3 linked regions of the Caenorhabditis elegans genome follow. The protein of the gene in region 1 interacts with the protein of each later gene in a pairwise test. Each region holds a gene or a part of one and is shown in the gene's direction. Other genes may lie near its edges.

Region 1 (7,377 bases):
AAAACAAAATGTTGTTTTTTTGTAAGTTACGCCCTATGATGTCTGTAAATAATTAAAAAAACAACTTGTATCAATTCTTCATTAAAAATGCCCCAAAAGTTTTCTTCTAAAAGGAGTGACGTCATGCATTCTATAAAGTTAAATCGCCCGCATGTTCTGGAAATAAAAACTGGAAAAATGATCCTCTGTATGTATATGTACAGTGAAACTGTAAATTCAATTTTTATACACGTCACCCCGATATTGCATTGTGAATCTTGTCCTTTTTTTGTATTAGAATGAGAGACTTCTTAAACTCCATTTTGTAAAAATTTGCTTTCCGTCTATAACGGATATCTTGGCGAGACCAACTCAGCAAAATAGCGTGCGCCTTTAAATTATCAGCGTAAAATATTGGAAAAAATATATCGCAATTTCGCAAGAGTTTGTCATACGTTTTTAAAGACGCACGGATTTATTCTGATGGATCTCGGAGCGCAAAAAGTTTGTTGTAGTACTTTTTTAAAATTACAGCTGAATTCTAATTTAATTAAGAATGTGAGTATTTCTTGTTTGTTGGTCTGAAAAAAGAGAAAAGTTAATTTAAAAACAGATAAACTTCGCTAAAAAGGAATTTTATTGAAAAATGTAAGCAAAATTACCATGAAAGCAGTTGCAAAAAAACTACCATAAATTTTTTTGCGCCCCGAGACCCATCTGAACAAATCCGTGTGCCTTTAAAAAAGCATGCCAAAATCTTGTGAAATTACAATATAAAAAATAAAAAAAATCCTGAAAGTTGAACTCCTTCTCTCAAAACAAATATTTACTTGAAGCAATCTAAAAATATGAAAAAGTGAAAAACCGACGGAACGGAACATCAATCTGCCAAGCCTTTGAAAATGTATGGAAAACGAGATTGAAATCCGGATTGGGCGGGAATCATGCCATTCAAAAAGAGCGAAATTGTTCTATAATTGCTGGTTGTGTAGTCAATATATTATCCGAATTGATTTTGAAAAATTCATAAGCAATAAAAAATAACGAAAATGGTTAACAAATAATAACAACATTTGGGTGTAATTTTAAAATATGAAAATGATTAATTTATTTTAGGAGAGCCCGTGGCAGTATCGGTGGATTCTGTGTCTAATTTTCCAATTTCTTCTAGGCTTTCTGGCTTTTCTTCCACAACTTCCTCTTTCAATTGAGCATTCTTCCGTTCTGGAATAATTGAAAGAAGAGCATCTTTCCAGTTTTTGTGAACAGAGTAATGAACCAGAATTTCATAGACTTGATTGATAGTGAGTACCTGAAATCAGAAGAATATTATGGGACAAAAATATGGAAACCGATTACCCGTCGAGATTTCATGAGAAGATGTTCATCTAAAGGCAATTTTGCATGACCAAATCCTTTTTCTTGAGCGATTCGATAGCACAATCCTTTTTGAGAATTATGATCCACAATTCCTCCAATTACATACACTTTCGTATCATCAAGATCGCTCAGGACATTTTCAGATTCAGAAGTCAAATAAACTATTTCCTCTGGTTTAAATAAATTTTCCAATTTTTCTTGGTGAAGATGGATGTCTTGATTCAGGTTGTGCTCATTACCATCATAAATCTCAACAAAACCAATTAAAACACTTGTTGTGCGAAAACAAAATTACTTTTCTCGATGGTCCATCGAACCCCACAACATGAAATTGAAATGGATCAGGACTGTGTCTGTTCGCAGTATAACACCATCCGATTTGCTGAACTGTACGTTTTTGATCCTTTTCAATCATCAAATCGTCAAATGACATGTCCAAAGCAATTCGTTGCTAAAAAGTTGTTTTAGTCTAAGGAAATTGTCAGATTTTACCAGTTGAAAACATTTTTACTGTATGAATGTTCAAAAGTTAATGTTAAACAAATTACTGGAATCGTATATTACCTTGCTATTAGACTGAGCCATTGTTCTGAAATCTTTTCGTTTCCTCAACTTTGAAAGATCTCCCGATTCTTTCAGCGCTGCTCGTTTTTCCTTTTTTCGAATTCTTTCCGCTGCACGTTTGACTAACTTCTTTTCTTCCCATTTCACCTTGTATTTTTGACGTCGCAGTTGCTTTTTCGACATTCCCTCTGGTACTGCTGGAATATTATAATTCAATACATACTGATGCAACGGAAAACTCACGTTGGTCTTGATTTTGATGCTCCACATTATCTTCAAATTTTTCGATTGTTTCCTCCGACATAATTTTCCACTTAAAGATGCCAAAATGATATTTAGAATATATTTTTTAATGTTTTCAAAAAAAAAAATGAGAGAAATCAGTGAAATGCAAACATGCTCCAATGACAAACTAACAAACGACACTCCGATTTCGCGTCAAAAATTTTTTCAATTAAAAAATTTATTTCGTTTTTAGGTTAATTCTTTTATTTACACTCATTGCAAAAATATTATCAAGAATGGAGGAAGAAACAATTAAAGTCGAAAATCTGGATGATTCAATTGTATGTTTTCCTTTTAAATTCCAAAAATATTCCATATTTTAGACTATCGATCGAAATCCTGTGCCACTTGCTTTCTGTGCTCGACCAACACTTCCCGCAAAAATTGGAATGAAGACAGAAGATGGAATCGTCGATCAACTTTTGGATCTTGTTGATCCTATCACCGTTGTGAATCCTACTGAAATTCGCCAGGCTCCATCATTGAAAAGCTTCGGATGCGACACTGAAAGTGAATTTGAGTTTTCTGGAGATGATAGCGATTTCGAAAATATCAACGATTTACGAGCCGGTGCACTTGATTCTGATGAAGAGTTTGACAGGCTAGTAAAGTTTTCCGCAAAGATTATTGAGAAGACACACAAGTCAGAGTACCCGGATGAAAATGGAAAAAAGCAGCGGAAGCCAAAAAAGTCACAAAAAACGGTAAGGTTTCATTATTTTGAAATGTTTTTTCGAATGATTAGATTTCTAGCGTAATGTTCACGAGTATGATGATATGCCACCACTCGAGAATCTCAGTATTGAATGTAAAGGACAATTGCTGGAATTTGGTTTTGTAAGCAAAGTCGTGGATTGTCAAGGTAAATTGTCAAAAATGTCAACCTTATATAAAATGTTAATTGAATTGGTATTTCAGTTGTTATCATTTCAACATGCACAGAAGTTCTCGACTTCGATTCATTTCTTTTCGATCAAAAAGGAAATGCGTTGGGACAAATTTATGACATTTTTGGACAAGTCAAAAATCCACAATACGTTATTCGATTCAATTCTTGTGAAGAGGTGAAGCTTTTAGTAGACAAATAAAATATATAACAGAAGTTTTATAGGCATCGATGATACCCATTGACATGAAAGTATATTATGCTCCTACAGAAGAACAATTTTCCAAAACTCCATTCAAAGGACTTAATCTTGCTGCAGCAAATAGGGATGCTATTAAATCCCTAAATCGTCGCATTGATCATCAAGAAGCTGTTGCAAAAGCTGGTGAAACGATGGCTCAGGTTGGCATCGGTAGTGACGTGGAGTTCAGTGATGATGAAGCGGAGAAAGAATTTAAACGCACCACATGTAAGATATAATTGAAATTTACTTTCAAATTCTAGTAATTTTCAGATACCCAACCAGCTAGTCAAATGTCAAGAGGATTCGATTCGAACAGAGGGCGAAAACGAGATCGCCGCGGAGGACAAAAAGTTAGATTTTCTGCTCAGAATCCACCTGCCAGATCGGATAATCTTGGGCCCATCCCTCAGCAGCCATCTGCGCCACCGCCACCTGCTCGTCCAGCACAATCAACCGAATCAAATCCATATGCCGAATTCGGATGTCATTCTGGATTCAACGGACGTTTTGGAATTTAATTTTTTGTTAAAATATCGTTACACATTGAATACTTTGTTGGATATATTGTAACATTTTTTCGTTGTTATTGTTGCACTTTTGGAATTGACGCGTGAATAAACTTCATTTTTACATTTTAAAATCATAAATTGCTATAATATCAAAATGACGAATAGTCATACTCACAACGGAAACCGAATTTGGTTCATCTGCAGCTGGGAAAATGGTCCAATTTGTTATGGAATGGCTCTGTGAGTTCAAATTCTTCGCAGCTGTGAGCTATGCTCTGGAAATCGTATTTTTTCAGTGATCTTATTGGGGGAATTTCTTTGATTGCTTTCTCAGTTCTTCTCGTCGGAGTCATATTTTTCGGATGGTTTGGAATATTTCCAAAAGTTATTCGAGTAAGCTTCACGAGTAATTCTAATTTTTGTATGTTTTCTTTCAGCGTAAACTTCACGATTGAATTTTATATTTTTATTATAACGTTCAGAAGAAGGCGAGGCTCTATTACTCTATTTTAATAAAATATTTGAATTGACTAAAGTTTAATAAATATTATGCAGTGCTATGAAAAACTTGTGGGTAAAGTGGAATAGAGAAAAAAAGAGAAAAGAAAGGAACGGCAGGAAGAAGCTGGCTGAAAATTAGAATATCTAAAAAAAACAATTAATAAAAAAAGATTAACTGGAAGAAGGAAAGCAGCGGGTGGGTTGGAAAAGTGAAAAAAGGAAAGGCAGTATAATAGGAAAACAAGGATTTTTGAAACATAGAAAACAAGGAAAGCAAAAAAAGAAAACAACTGGAAATAAGGAAAGATTTAAAGCTCAGGCTATAATGAGTATGTAATTGAACTGAACAAATTAAAAAATAAAAACAAAAAAGATTCTCCTGCGATAAGACTAAATTACTTAGCGAAGTTAGGACAGGAGCAAACATCGATCAGGAAAATCAAACTTCAGCGATTCGCAAAATTGATGGATATACATATCGAGAAATTTTAAACAGTTTCCGCTTCTTTTTTGTTCAGAAACTTTGTTCAAGAATGTCTAAATTGCCCCCATATATCTCACAATTCAGCGAATTTCAATATTTGATTAGAAAAAAAGGCGCAGTCAAAAGTACCGTAACCTTTGATCATGAAACATTTTCAAGGAACATACTATGTAGAAAACCTAGTGTTAGGTGATTGAGGGAATGACAATAAATTCGAAGTAATGCTATTAAAAACTAAAAAAAAGAAAAGAATCAAAAACTTGAAATAAGAGACCAGAGAAGTAGAGATTCATACGAGATTTTGACACTTTTAGGTATCGAAAAAATTAATCCATGTCACCAGAGAAACCATCATCATCCAATTCATCATCAATGTGTCCACCATTTTTCACATGATTTAATAATTTTGTATTAACTTCAAAGATTAGTCCTTTGTACCGCTCAGGAGAGCATTTTCCACAAAAACCACCACAGTGACCAATAACTTTTGCATTGTTCTTAAAATAGAATAGATTTTGAACAAATTAAGGTTTTCAAAAACTCACATAAAAACGATCGATTCGAGAGGATGTTCGATGACCTTGATCCTCCCAATTCAGATCGTCAACTAATTTCAGACCAGCAGATTTTAAATCAATTGAGAATATTCCCTGTGGACAATCTTTCATACTGTAGCAATCACCGGCAGTACCATATGGCACATGAACACCATATTCTCGTTTTGCAAATGTATAATCCGCCACTGAAAGTTTCAATTTCTGTATACGGGTATTAAATTGTTGATAAATAATTCAGATTAATCAGATCATATAAATTCAAGTACAGTATAAATTACTTACGATGGAACTTTCTATTCAACAAATCTATTCGAACTTTATTGAATCTCGTCAATCCAGCACTTGCATCGCCGTCTTCTGAACAATGGCATGAATCATTACGATCACCATTAAATGGGCAAGTATGAGGGTATATTAATCTGGAATCGCAATTACAGAAATTTGTAAATCTACTGAAATAAACTAACTTTTTTCCATAAACCTCTGCAAAATTGGTTCTTGGATTAACGTTCAAATAAGCTTTAGGAATGGTTGAATTCATTCGATGACAATAAATTTCAATAGTGAATCCGTCAAGAAGAATAGTGTAATTTCCATCTTTAGCCTTAACATTCTGAGATTTAAGCTCCTGACAAGTTGACGGAAGGCCTGAAAAGTTTACAATATTCTATGTTCGAGTCAATTTAAAACTTACAATTTCTTTCAAAACAATATTGAGTTCGACGTGGTTTCTTTGTGGTACACTTGACTCGTTCAACTCGACGACCATCATTGGCCACACACTTGACACGTCGACGTCGAATACCTTGACCGCAATTTTTCGAGCATTCACCCCATGGTCCGAAACTCCATTTGAATTCCGAATCGCATGGGTTAAGTTCGCACGTTTGAGATTCATTTGGTTTTGGGAAAAGTTCACATTTCTCTTTTGGTACAGCTGGTTCATCTTCGAGCATAAATATAATTGGAATGGTTGAGTTAAAATTAATCTTTCTACGACATCTGACTTCTCGTGTCTGTACTCCTTCTCCACATGACTTTGAACACTAAACATATCAATTTATATATTCACTTAGTTCTAGAAAACAACACCGTTTGCCAATCTCCTGGCACCCACTCATATGGACAATTTGATGTATCGCACTCTCTGATCGAAGTTGGTGCACGAGCCAATTCACACATTCGTGGAGCTGCTCGTTTACCAGAAGTGCTTATACAGTGCACCCGACGAGTTTGCTTTTGTCCTCGAGCACACTCATCTTTGCACTGAAAGAATATATGTTGTGAGATTTAAACAATTTATTTTAATGTGTGGGAAAAAGTGTGGACTGGATAGCATTTCTAAAGGATCACCAATACGATAATATTTCATTTTCTTACCAAATCCATTTGAAAACGAATGATGGACTCTGAACATGTTTTTAAAAGCATACATATTTTGAGAGATTTGGGGGTTTTCTTCAGTCAGCAAAAACCGTTGAAAATGGTTGGTAATTGTGTAATAGCTGAGCCCTAATAGGTTTCAATAGGATAATCATAGTAATGGCCTACAAGTAAATAATTATTCAAATTGGTCATATCAGGCTTCCAATTAGCAGCCAGTCATGATTATTTCTAGACAAAAATATATAAATTAAATCCGCTTTCATATTTAAAATTTAAAAGCCTTTTAAAATTTAAAAGCCAGCTACTACACAAATACCAACAAAATCAAAAACAACTAAAATCACAACTCTCACCTTGCTCCATGGAGTAACATTCCATCTATAAGCTGGACAAGCCACTGGGAAACAGTTGGCAACAGAGTTGAGCTTAGTTTTTGGATTGCACTCCGAATCAGACACCAAATTCTTGCGACCACGATAACATTGAACTTCACGACGTCTGATTCCTCTGCCACAGGTGACAGAACACTGTAAATTGATTATTGAAAAATTGAAGTAGCTTGAGAAAAATGTTATCTTTATCTTACCGAACTCCAAGTAGTA
Region 2 (5,981 bases), on another chromosome or scaffold:
ATTTTAAATAGTTGTTGAACAGGGCTGAGCGGCGATCCAAAAAAATCGGCTAAGTACCCAAATTTAACAAATATTTGTTTTTCTTGAGCATTGCTTGCAGACATAAGATTATATATTCCACGATTTCAGTCGACCACGATTGACCACGATTTCAGTCAAATTTCACAAAAATCATTTCCAGGCAACAACAATTCGCGATAAACGCCAATCCTGTGGCTGTGCTCCAAGAGTTCAACCAAGTTGCTCTTGCCAACGAACCACCTATACTCAACCACAACAGTACAGTTGTTCCTGTCAGAACACTGCTCCAGTCCAGAAATCCTGTTCATGTGCCCAACCAGTTCAGCAACAAACCTACCAAATTCAAGCTTCTCAATGTGCCCCAGCTTGTCAGCAGTCTTGCCAGAACCAATGTCAATCTGCTCCATCTGTTAGTCAATGTCAATCTACATGCCAACAAAGCTGTCAGACTTCTTCCTGTTATACTCCAACTACTCCAGCTCCAGTTCAATGTCAACCATCCTGCATGCCAGCCTGTGAACAATCCTGTGTTGTCCAGACTCCAGCTGCAGTTCAATGCGTGCCACAATGCCAACAACAGTGCCAACAGCAATGTGTTCAAACTCAACCAATTCAACAATGTCAGCCACAATGTCAGCAACAATGTGTTCAACAATGTGCTCCAACCACTACTGCCGCTCCACAAATAATCAAGATTAACATGGAAATCTCTGCTCAGTGTGTTCCTCAATGCCAGCAATCATGCCAACAACAATGTGTTCAACAACAAGTTCCAGCCCAACAGTGCAATCAGCAATGCACCCAGCAATGCCAGACCACCTGCCAGCAAGCAGTTCCACAATGCCAACAACAGTGTGCTCCACAATGCCAACAACCATCAGCTCCACAGTGCCAGCAGTGCCAGAATACCTGCCAACAAGCTGCTCCAGTTTGTCAGCAACAGTGTGCTCCACAATGTCAACAGCAATCTGCACCAGCTTGCCAACAATGTCAGACTTCGTGCCAACAAACTCAACAGTGCCAACAACAATGTACTCCACAGTGCCAGCAACCATCTGCTCCACAATGCCAGCAATGCCAATCTGCATGCCAAGCTCCAGTTGCCACTACTGCTGCTCCACAAGCTGTCACAATCATTCTGGAAGCTTCAGTCTCCCAATCTGCACAATGTGAACCACAATGCCAGCAATCATGCCAACAGCAATGCGTTCAGCAGCAACAACCAATGCAACAATGTGCTCCAGCTTGCACCCAATCATGCTCTCAATCCTGTTCTGCTGCTCAACCAGCCCAGATGCCATGCCAGACACAATCAGTCAACTCCTGCTCGTGCCAGCAAAACTATTCTCCATGTGGAAATGGACAGTGTTGCAAGAGAAAGTAGACATCGAATGCGTAACTTTGACATCAGTTCTCTGTATATATGACACAATTTTCTCATTTTTTTCACAATAAATAATAATAATGCTTGAAATAATTTACTTCTAACTTCCAAATAATTTCTTCGATAATCAGCAACAAATAAAGTCCCATAAATTTTTTTCACAAAACATTATTTCTAAATGCCACGGTATTTTTTTACTCCTGCGGTAAATGAAATAAAACTTCACGCAATCCAGCAGTACATTTTTTACAATTTTTGAATATTTCTCAATCATTTCTGCATTTGGAAGTCGTTTGGTAAGTTCTTTTGAACATGATTTGAACCAAATAAAGTTTATATGATTTAGACAAGAAATTTAAAAGTGAAAACCAATGTCATGGTATTCAAAGATTTACGTAGCAGTGCGAGAATACCGCGCTAAACATAAAATCACTGGATGGATTTTGACGAGATGTCTCAATGTACTTCTTTTCATTCAACTTATTTTGCTCTGGTGGTCGTGAGTCATTCTTGATTGTTTGCGAATCATTTAACTGGGTCTTTTGCAGACTTTATATGTACGTGACAGTGACAATTGGTTATTACGTTCAGTCAACAATTCAAGCAACCATTTATTTGATTGTTGGATCATTTCTGTTTGTTATGTCAATGTGGAGTCTTGCAAAAACGTTGTTCACGAGAGTTGGCAGAGTTCCAGAAAGATATCGACCTAGTAAAGAACTTGAAGATAGATTGAAAGCAGTCACACCGATGGAGAAAAATCGATACGTGGTAGAGAAATCGACACCTGAACAGGTAAAGTGAAAAAATCAAAATAAGTGGTTTAATCTTGTCTTGATTGTTTTGTTTTTTATTATTATTTGTTTATTTTATGGATGCTAAATACACTTTATATAATACACCAACAAAGTTTTCAGCTTGCACAACAAAATACTATTTTGGAGGAGATGTGTACTTACTGTAAAGTAGTCGTCGCTGAATGTGATCAAGTGGGAAGGCTCAAGTATTGTTACGAGTGCGGACATATCAAACCGGATCGTGCCCGACATTGTAGCTCATGTGGGAAGTGTTGCATTAAGTATGATCATCACTGTCCATGGATAAACATGTGTGTTACACACGTCAATTACAAGTACTTTCTACTCTACATTATCTACACCAGTTTTCTTGTTTATTGGTATTTGCTCACTTCACTAGAAGGTGCTGTTCGATATTTTATCAATCAACAATGGACCGATGAATTGGGAAAGTTTTTGTTCTACTTGTTCAGTTTTATTGTCGGCGGAGTGTTTGGTTACTATCCACTCGGTGAACTTATCATATTCCATTATCAATTGATCTCATTGAACGAGACAACTGTCGAACAAACAAAACCAGCTCTTCTAAGATTTGATAATGCAGCTGACTACAATATGGGGAAATATAATAATTTTCAATCAGTGTTTGGATGGGGATTATGGCTGTGTCCAATTGATTCCAGCACCCAGGATGGTCTGCATTTCGACATAAGGTATTTTAGAATTTCGTTTAAAAATCAGTTTAGCACTACAAAACGTGCGCAATAAAGTATTTCTTTCTGAAAATTTTTCTTGTATATAAGCTAATCAGATATTTTTCCAGATACGTCAACACCCAGCAACGGAATCGATTTGTTAGAATTGAGGAGGAACCATCAAGTACTCAAAGTTCGCAGTCATCGATTCAATGATTCGGTTTAATGAAACTTTCCTTGATGTTTTTTTTTAAATTAATTTTTGTTCGTATCTATATACAGTGCTCCACAAAATGATACGGCCACCCCTAAATTTTGGTATAACTCAAAACTGGGTTAAGATAGCAAAACATAGTTTCATGTGAAAATGTTCGTTGTACTGGCTAGCTTTGAGATAAGTGATGGAAATATACCCGAAGCGTTCGTAAAAAAGAAAAAAAAACATTTTTTCATGAAAAACTATTTAAAAAACTCCACAAAATGATACGGCCAGGTGGTAGAAAAGTAGGAAAACTTAGAAAAATAAGGAACAAGAGATGATTAATAATCCACGGGATGAGCTCTTGTACTAATCACATCAAAAACGCGTGAATCCATGAAAAGTTAAAGATTGTCCAGGAGAGTTTGGTCAACTTTATGCCATGCGTCAAGAATTGCTCTTTTGAGGTCGTTAACATTGCTATTGTTTCCATCGTAAATCTTTCTCATCATGAATCCCCAAACGTTTTAAATTATGTTTATGTCCGGGGAGCAGGCAGGCGAGTCGGGAACAGGGAGCCCTCTGTCACTTATCCACTTGATTGTACGACGCGCGCGGTGACAAGGCGCTCCATCTTGTTGGTAAGTGTATTTTCTGGACCTGTTTCGACGGATAAACGGTATCAAACCGCGCCTCATCACATATCTGTAATCGCATCCGCAAACTGGATACGATTTTGGCGGTGTTTTTTGGTGACGCATGGAGCCTTTCTCAATTTTCTTCTTTTAATAAATTGGGACTTCGAAAGAACTCGTCGTACGGTCTCAACATACACTGGCAGGTTCATCTCGCTCTTTATTTTCGAGCAAGTCACTGTTGAATTGGATGCTCGACAAACGATATTCCGCTTGTCCCGATCAGAAAAAAGTGGTGGGCGACCAGAAGACTTTTTGGGGCCATAAGCCGCAGGATTGGAAGCATATCGAGAAATCATATCTCTCGAACGATTCAAATTACGAGAAATCTGACGATGCGATGTGGAGCACTGTACTTATTCACACTTGATTTCATCTGAAATTCATATCAAATGTTTTTAAAGCGAAGAAATACCTTCAAATCAAAGGACAAAAAGAACAATTAATCATTGTTTGATATTCGAGTGCCACGTCATAATATTAGCCTCTGGAACAAGGGCATTTCTGATTCTTCACTTGTATCCCAAAACAGAATCATAAACAGTTCTTCCCTTCCGTTGCAAATTGCATTTCGCGAATTGCGCTCACGGAACCTGAAATTTGTTAGAATTCTTTTAGAAAAACAGACCACACCCGACAGGACAGAAAAATCGAATTCTTGTCTTTTTATCACTCATTTACAATTCCATTTTACTCACCTTTTCTCAATGTCAGACGAAGTAATTCACATACATAGATGTCAATTTACTATATAGCCTTCAAAACAAAAACGAAGTTATTTTTCTCTTCCTATTTTTAAACAAAAATTTTCCCCAAAAGATTTTTGTAATTGTCAGGCGAATATTTCAGAAACCATTTCATTTCACATAAATAGGCTTTAAAATTTTCTGTAAAATTTGGGGTTTTCAATAAATGTAGAGCAACAATCTTAATGGTTGACTTCCAAGAATTTTGATAGCTGTAAACTGAGAAGTTGCAACTTTTTGACTTTAATTTGAAATAATTTGTTTTAATCGTTGAATATAACTTTTGATTATTTCAGCACTGTAAACTGTGAACAGTTCCCATATAAACTGAAAATGAGGACGAAAACGCGAATACGTTGCTTTTGAAAATAACTTTATAGTTTCGATGGTTTCATAATAGGATTTCTCGCAACACTTTTTCACATTGTACTAGTTTCTGATCTCCCAACTTGTATTTCTTTTTATGAGAATTGAAGTGAAACCTGTCTTGTAAGGTCACTCACTGATACTGATTGATCGACGTTGATTCATTTTCAAGATACTAGACAAAAAATAAATTGAGGAAGTGATAAGACTGTGAAAACAGTTTATTTTCACATGAGATCTGAACTATAAAATGCTTTTATTTATTATTTCCAGACATTTTAGTAGATTTAACATAACAAGTATCTTCAAATGTTGTTGATGAACTTTAGTTGATCTTGATCACATATTTGATATATCACGCTGAAAACTATCTGCAAAAATAAAAACAAAAATAAAGTCGATGTGATAGATTTGAATGATTTTTTGTCCGAATTGTTGATCGCTTGATTAGATTATAAATTTCTGAAGGTTGATGATCAGTAGCCAATTACATTAGATATTTTCTGAAGGTTAGCACATTTTCACTCATAGCTTAAAGTGCGTATACGTATAAAGTCTTTCCGGTCTTCTAATATTAAAAATTAAAAATCAATAAAGAAAAATAACTCATAAAGATCTTCAAAAAAAGGTTTACACTAAAAATCATCACCATCCAGTATCAATCGATGACCCAAATAATTTTAAGTTGAATCAGTTGGTGAACATGAGTAAAACACATAGGTTTGATATCTGATTTGTTGATTTTTGAGTGATTTGACATCTTTCTCTCATACCATACCTATATTTTTCGCGCCCACCCGCAAAAGAACCGAAAAAGAATTGAAGACATGTAGTCTGTGACTGTAGGGTGATACCCAAGAGGTTTATTTTCGCGCTCTACTGCTGATTCTGAAGGCGGTTTTTATCAAAAACCGAACAGAGGCCGTCAATTGACCGTTGGTTCTTCGATTGATTCTTCTACCATCCAAGATGAACACAAATCACTCCCATCTCTTCCCATTTAACCTTTTTTGGGAATCTTCATTTTGAGTCATTTTCAGAAGATTTCAAACATGGAGGACGTCGACTTGGGCAAGGA
Region 3 (6,418 bases), on another chromosome or scaffold:
GTGAGGCTCAGGGGGTTTTGTAGTTTGTAGTCTCTGAGTCTCACCCAATTTTTGAATTTTCTATTAGTTTTTTTGTAAAAAAGTGAAATTCGTTAATTTTTTTGCGTTTCTTGAACATTTTCAATTTGAAACTCGAAAAAATTCGAATTTTAGTTTCAAACACACCCTGAAATTCCGTTTTTGGTGAGGCTGAGCCGGGGTTTGTAGTTTGTAGTCTCTGAGCCTCACCCAAATTTCCATAGTTATTTTAACGGTTTTTTCCTGTAAAAATAAACTTTTCCACTGGTTTTTCCAAAAATATTGAGAAATCTTGTTATTTTTTTGGGTTTCTTTTTAAAAAAATTCGAATTTTAGTTCAAAAAACACTCAAAAACCGATAAAATTCAGCTTTTTGTAGTTTGTAGTCTCTTAGCCTCACCATTTTTTTTTAGTTTTTTAACAGATTTTTTCTGTAAAAATATAGTGAAATTCGTTATTTTTTGCGTTTCGTGAACATTTTCAATGTGTAACTCAAAAAATTCGAATTTTATTTTGAAAAACACCCTAAAATCAAGTTTTGAGTGAGGCTCGGAGCATTTTGTAGTTTGTAGTCTCTCAGCCTCACCCATTTTTCGTAGCTTTTCAACGGATTTTAGCGGTAAAATAGGATTTTCTACTAGTTTTTTTTTCGCAAAAAAGTAAAATTTATTAATTTTTCTGAGTTTCGTAATTATTTTCAATTTGAAACTCGAAAAAATTCGAATTTTAGTTTCAAACACACCCTGAAATTCCATTTTTGGTGAGGCTGAGCCGGGGTTTGTAGTTTGTAGTCTCTGAGCCTCACCCAAATTTCCATAGTTATTTTAACGGTTTTTTCCTGTAAAAATAGAATTTTCTACAAATTTTTTAAATCAAAAATTGTGAAATCCGAATTTTTTTATGGGTTTTTAAAAAAATTCAAATTCTAGTTCAAAAAATACTCAAAAACCGATAAAATTCAGCTTTTTGTAGTTTGTAGTATCTGAACCTCACCGAAATTCCAAAATTTCTCAAAAAAAATTTGTTTTTTTTTGGTTTGTAGTTTGTAGTCAAGAAACTATAGTTTGTAGTGGTCCTGAGCCTTTTTCCAGAATATATTTTTGTAGTTTGTAGTCGCACGTGGAGTCAGAAAGTCCCATTTCGTTTTGATCTTCGAAAAATGCGGGAGAAGAGACGCAGACATCTCATCTCATTTCGTATGGTTAAGAGCGTGCTGACGTCACAATTTTTCTGGAAAAATATCCCCGCATTTTTCGTAGATCAAACCGCAATGAGACAGCCTGACACCACTTGTAGTCGAAAATAGCAAGATTGTTCAAATTCATTAGAAAAAATGTTTTTGTAAGAAAAAAGATTGATTTTTGCATATTAAAAATCTTAATGCTTAAAAAACTGAAAATTTTCCAATTTTGTAGTTTGTAGTCTCTGAGCCTCAACCAATTTCTTCTTTCAGGTCGTCGTTTCACGTTGGTACGGTGGAATTCATCTTGGACCCGATCGTTTTCGACATATTAATAATTTAACTCGGCAAATTTTAAGTGATAATAATTATGGACCGAAGAAGTCTTAAAATTCTATATTTTTTAACGTGATAATTTTTTTTTCTTCAATTTTAAACTCCCTACGTGTGCTTTTAATATTATTAATCCAACAACTCTTTCAAATTGTAATCATTTTCATTTATTTTTCAAAACATTGGTCACTTTATACTAATAAATAGTTTTTCAATCAAATATGCGTTTTCTGATGGAGTTGGGCTCACCGAACGATGCAAACTACACTGTATTCTGCTGTTCTCATGTCGTTTTGGCTTTTGCCATTTTTATGGTAATTTTTGGAAGTGTTCTGGGATAATTTTTGGAATTTTGGAATTAAAAAATTTTTTGAAAATTTTGGGAAAATTTTTTTTTTTTTCAAAAATTTCAAAACGTTTTTTTCACTTTTTTTTTTGAATTTCAAATATTTTCCAGATCCTTGACTTTACCCTAACTCTATTCTCATTTGGCTTAGAGCTTTTCCTCATTTTCGTAAGTTTTTCTCCTGAAAGTTCCCCTCAAAATCCCCAATTTTCCTGCAGTTCCACGACACTTTTGACCAATTTTGGGCGATTTTTCACGGAATTTCACTGGTTACTTCAATTTCCGCAGTTTTGGCGATTTGTGTGAGTATATTTGGCGGAAAATTTGAGAAAATCTGAAATTTTTGACTTAAATTTTAGGAAATTTTTTTTCTTAATCTGAAATTTTGAAGCTGTTTTCCCAAAAAAATCAATAAAAAAGCCTACGATTTCCATAATTACCAAAAAAAAAATCCAAAATTTCCTCATTTACACTCAAAAAAACCGTAAAACCCCGAGATTGAAGCTCAGACTACAAACTACAATGTTGGTTGAGGCTGAGCGCAGAATTGTAGTTTGTAGTCTGAGCCTCACCCAACATAATTATATTTCAGGATAATCCAGTGGCAATTATTGTTTATGGGTGTCGTGTTATGTTGATTTTGGGATTCGTTACAACTCGGTTCATGTGAGTTTGACTACAAACTACAAACTACAAACTACAAACTACAAACTACAAACTACAAAATGCAAACTACAAAATGCAAACTACAAAGTACAAACTACAAACTACAACTGGGAGGAACAAGCTTGCTGAGACTACAAACCACAATTTGGGGTTGCAACTCAAAAAGTTGTAGTCTGTAGTTAGTTTGTAGTTTGTAGTTTGTAGTTTGTAGCTTGTAGTTTGTAGTGTGCACTCTGTTTTTTGTAGTTTGTAACTTGCAAGTCATATTAGAAACATATTAGCAATTTTCCAAAGTTTCAAAATTCTCACCTAATTTCGCAATACCGATATCAGTACAATAAGTCTTATGGAAGTTGTAGTTTGTAGTTTATAGTTTGTAGTTTGTAGTTTGTAGTTTGTAGCCTGCAAGTGATGTTCGAGACGTATTGGCAATTTTCCAAAATTTCAAATTTCTTACCTAATTTCTCTAAACCAATACTAGTGCAATACGTGTTAGGGAAATAGTAGTTTGTAGTTTGTAGTCTGTAGTATGTAGTTTGTAGTTTGAATTTTGTAGCTTGAAAGTCATATTCGAGACATATTGAGGCTTTTCCAAAATTTCAAATTTCTCACCTAATTTCACAATACCGATATCAGTGAAATACGTGTTAAGGAAATTGTAGTTTGTAGTTTCTAGTGTGTAGTTTGTAGTTTGTAGCCCTTCCAACCCATTTCCAAACTTCAGAATCTCAATGCGTGATTTCACATCAAAAGAAGAGCCAACTCTGAGTGAATTGTTGAATTTATTCCAAATCGTGATTGTGATAATGTACACAATTGGCATTTTCCTAGTGATTCGTCTATTTACCTATTCAGCTGGAAGATATCGTGGATATTATGACGTGGATGATGATTTGAAAGACGAAATTCGAAAGTATGTTTTTAGGGATTTTGAAAAATTGAAAAAAATACGTTTTTTTCAGAAAATTCCTGGAGTATGAGGCGGATTTGGATGAGAAATCAGAGAAGAAGGATTAATTTTTTTAAACTTTTGAATGATTTTTAATAAAATGGCTGAGTAGTTTGGGTTTTCAACCGGAATTCAAATTTTCCTTCAATTTTTTTCTTTCTGCTCATTGAACAGGTCTCATAAGCTCGAGAAACTTCTGGAATGGATAATTTTTTGACTCTGTCGAAAAAGTGTCAATATTAATGCAAATTATGAAAATTTATTCTCAGAAACAATTACAATCATGTATTATAAACGTTTCTGCCATTCACCAAGCAGTCGGTACAACTTTTTTTTACCCAACACGATTCCGGACTTCTTGCTCCAGCGCAGTTTGCAATCCAACCATCACTTCTCACATCTTTATCACAAGTTTCCGCACATTTTGGTCTTTCAGCTTTTGGACGTAGTTCAGAACACGCAATACGGCAATAATCGTACCGATAGGTATAGGCATTACAGGCCGAGAGGCACAACAGCAGGAATAGTACGATTTTGGTTATCATTATGATGAAGTAGAATATGGTGATATTTAAAATTTTAAAAACGTGGAATTTGAGTTATTCGTTTTTAAGACAATTGTTATGCTACTTAGGCCCCGTCAACTGTCAATGTAAACAATTATGTCTAGACCGGAAGCTTATCAGCTGCACGGCCTGTAATTAGGCTCCTCTGACCAAAACTACAGGGGTAGGCGGCTTAAAACCGATTTAACCGAATTCGCCGATCGGCTAACTTGGCTAACTCGGTTAATATTAGCTAATATTAAATAATTTTTGTAGCAATACCAAAAAATTTTTGTCCGAATGTGCCAAATTAATTTATTGAACTTCATTGCAACAAATTACCCTAAAAATTGTGATTTTCTTATTAGACAACCCGAGTTATAAGGTATTTGAAAAATTTGAGAAAAAATAAAGTAACCTTACTTCAAATTGTCATCCATGGTAGAAAATGTTTTCAAATACAACAAATTCCATATAAGTTTCTAAAAAAATTATGAAAAACTGAAAAATCGTCCATGATGTCTAATCCTTTCCAGACGGCCAAAAAATACTACCTGCATGCATTATTTGTAAATCGACGCTTTAATGTTATCTAATTATCGTGATGTCTTTTTGCAACAAAAAAATCGTCCATTAAGTCGAAGAAAAGAGAAATCGATTTTTTAACAATGCAAACTGATTTTTTTCCAAAATGTGACAACAATCAACCATTAATACTGTTCAAGCTATCCACCAAACACTGCTTACACTCAGGCCGTTTTTACACCTTTTTGCAGGCATGGTATTAATTTGTCTACAATGAGACCTAAGTCTCTCGTGCATTTTGACTCCATTATAATCTGCTCATTAATATAGTACAAAGAATTAGGGTTGTGTTTACCCAGGTGCATTACTACTGTTTTATTTTCAGCTAGTCCAAGTTTCCATTTTTCATACCAATCAGTAATGATAGTAAGAGATTTTTGGAGACTAGCAGAGTTTTCGCTGAAGATCTTAAGATCGTCAGCGAAAGCAACTACCGAGACATCTGGGGGAAAAGATGATAAAAGATCATTTATATAAAGAAGAAATAGGAATGGGCCCGTTACTGCACCCTGGAGTACGCCTGATATATTGGAAAATGTATTATGTGAAATATAGTCACCTATCTTGACTTTGAATATTCTGTCAGAAAGAAAAGCTCAAAACCATGCAACAAGATTATCATTTAAACCAAAATTATGTAGTTTTAGAAGAAGTAGCTCATGTGGCACGGTGTCGAAAGCTTTGCGGAAATCTATGAGAATTACATCAATATTTGGGTTTCACTAGGCACTTTTGATACGTAGATAAGGCATCAATAAGAGCTAACGGGCATGATCTTTTATTCAGAAAACCATATTGAAATTTTGATATTTTATGACCAAAATCTCTCATAAGTGAATGGAGTATTATGCGCTCAAATAGACGGGAAAGGGGATGTGTTAGGCTGATAGGCCTAAAGTTGGTGGGGTCCGTAATTTTACCTTTCTTATGCAATGGCACAACAATAGAAGTTTTCCAGCAAGACGGAAATGTTTTGGATGTGAGAGATTCGGTGAAAACTAAGGAAAGGGGGACAGTAATTGAGTCAAAACATTTCTTAATGATGAGGAAGTTTATATTATCTAGGGAAAATCCTACTTTAGATTTTAATTTTTTGATAAAGTAAGCAATTGCAAAGGGTGATAGGTCAATTTTGGTATCTAGAGGTTGCGATGCAGGTAGAGCGGGAAAGTGGGGTGATGGGGGGGCTGAAACTTTGACAGAAGGTATTTATGAATTCGTTAGCAAAACCAGGGGGGTCTCTGATTTGGCTTTGATTTATCACTAAATGTGATATAGAGGTTTTGGAAGTTAATTTGTTTCGAATGAAACGGTATAATTCTAGTGATTTAGATTTGTAAATGATATTATTCTCAAATCTACTATTCTTTTTTCGTAATCTTTTGATATATTTATCAACTTTCATTTTGATCTCGTCAGCTGAGGAAAACGGATGCTTTCTTTTGAATTGCTTGTATTTCAGCAATACAGTTTTTGTTTTCGGCTTTGAGGGATCATTTTAGGTGTATACATTTCAATAAGTTCATTAAACACCTTAAGAAAATGATTTAGTTTAGATTCAAAACTGGAAAAAAATTTGTTTGTTTTGCCCAGTTAAAAGAATGCATATGAGCATTTAGTGATATGAAATCGCATTTGCGATAAGCAAGTGTTGTTTTCGATAAAGTGCTATTGATTTCCTTGAAGTAAGGTAGTTCTAAAACAAAATTAACTGAAAGATGATCAGATTTCAGAAAGTGTGGACGTACAAAAACAGAGTGACATGAGCTTTTGTCATTGAAAAATAGTACATCTAG

What was found. Proteins that work in one complex are often made in the same cells at the same time.
Region 2: the proteins of spe-29 (region 1) and spe-10 interact in a two-hybrid assay, tested with the Caenorhabditis elegans proteins (one study listed by BioGRID).
Region 3: the proteins of spe-29 (region 1) and spe-38 interact in a two-hybrid assay, tested with the Caenorhabditis elegans proteins (one study listed by BioGRID).

Annotation. Positions count from the first base shown.
Region 1 is NC_003282.8:9,929,909-9,937,285, forward strand, and holds spe-29 (uncharacterized protein), read left to right. Parts: upstream 1-3,971; 5' UTR 3,972-4,001; coding exon 4,002-4,087; intron 4,088-4,143; coding exon 4,144-4,240; intron 4,241-4,284; coding exon 4,285-4,302; 3' UTR 4,303-4,414; downstream 4,415-7,377. Other genes in the region: trmt-10A (tRNA (guanine(9)-N(1))-methyltransferase), read right to left, coding at 1,082-1,291, 1,339-1,608, 1,655-1,810, 1,924-2,120, 2,167-2,227; F25H8.2 (H/ACA ribonucleoprotein complex non-core subunit NAF1), read left to right, coding at 2,445-2,489, 2,532-2,912, 2,962-3,070, 3,127-3,272, 3,320-3,563, 3,609-3,856; gon-1 (Peptidase M12B domain-containing protein), read right to left, coding at 5,159-5,329, 5,378-5,574, 5,672-5,808, 5,857-6,037, 6,084-6,435, 6,482-6,655, 7,129-7,302, 7,362-7,377.
Region 2 is NC_003283.11:10,382,572-10,388,552, forward strand, and holds spe-10 (Palmitoyltransferase spe-10), read left to right. Parts: upstream 1-1,678; 5' UTR 1,679-1,701; intron 1,702-1,751; 5' UTR 1,752-1,776; coding exon 1,777-1,904; intron 1,905-1,953; coding exon 1,954-2,200; intron 2,201-2,322; coding exon 2,323-2,915; intron 2,916-3,025; coding exon 3,026-3,113; 3' UTR 3,114-3,169; downstream 3,170-5,981. Other genes in the region: pqn-2 (Prion-like-(Q/N-rich)-domain-bearing protein), read left to right, coding at 182-1,405; Aminopeptidase-like protein AC3.5, read left to right, coding at 5,956-5,981. UniProt on the Caenorhabditis elegans protein: Involved in spermatogenesis, specifically in the morphogenesis of fibrous body-membranous organelles (FB-MO), which are Golgi-derived organelles used for transporting sperm-specific components, in spermatocytes and in their localization into budding spermatids.
Region 3 is NC_003279.8:10,961,660-10,968,077, reverse strand, and holds spe-38 (uncharacterized protein), read left to right. Parts: upstream 1-1,695; 5' UTR 1,696-1,764; coding exon 1,765-1,845; intron 1,846-1,988; coding exon 1,989-2,045; intron 2,046-2,095; coding exon 2,096-2,179; intron 2,180-2,469; coding exon 2,470-2,543; intron 2,544-3,267; coding exon 3,268-3,456; intron 3,457-3,505; coding exon 3,506-3,560; 3' UTR 3,561-3,606; downstream 3,607-6,418. Other genes in the region: impt-1 (Protein IMPACT homolog), read left to right, coding at 1,472-1,588.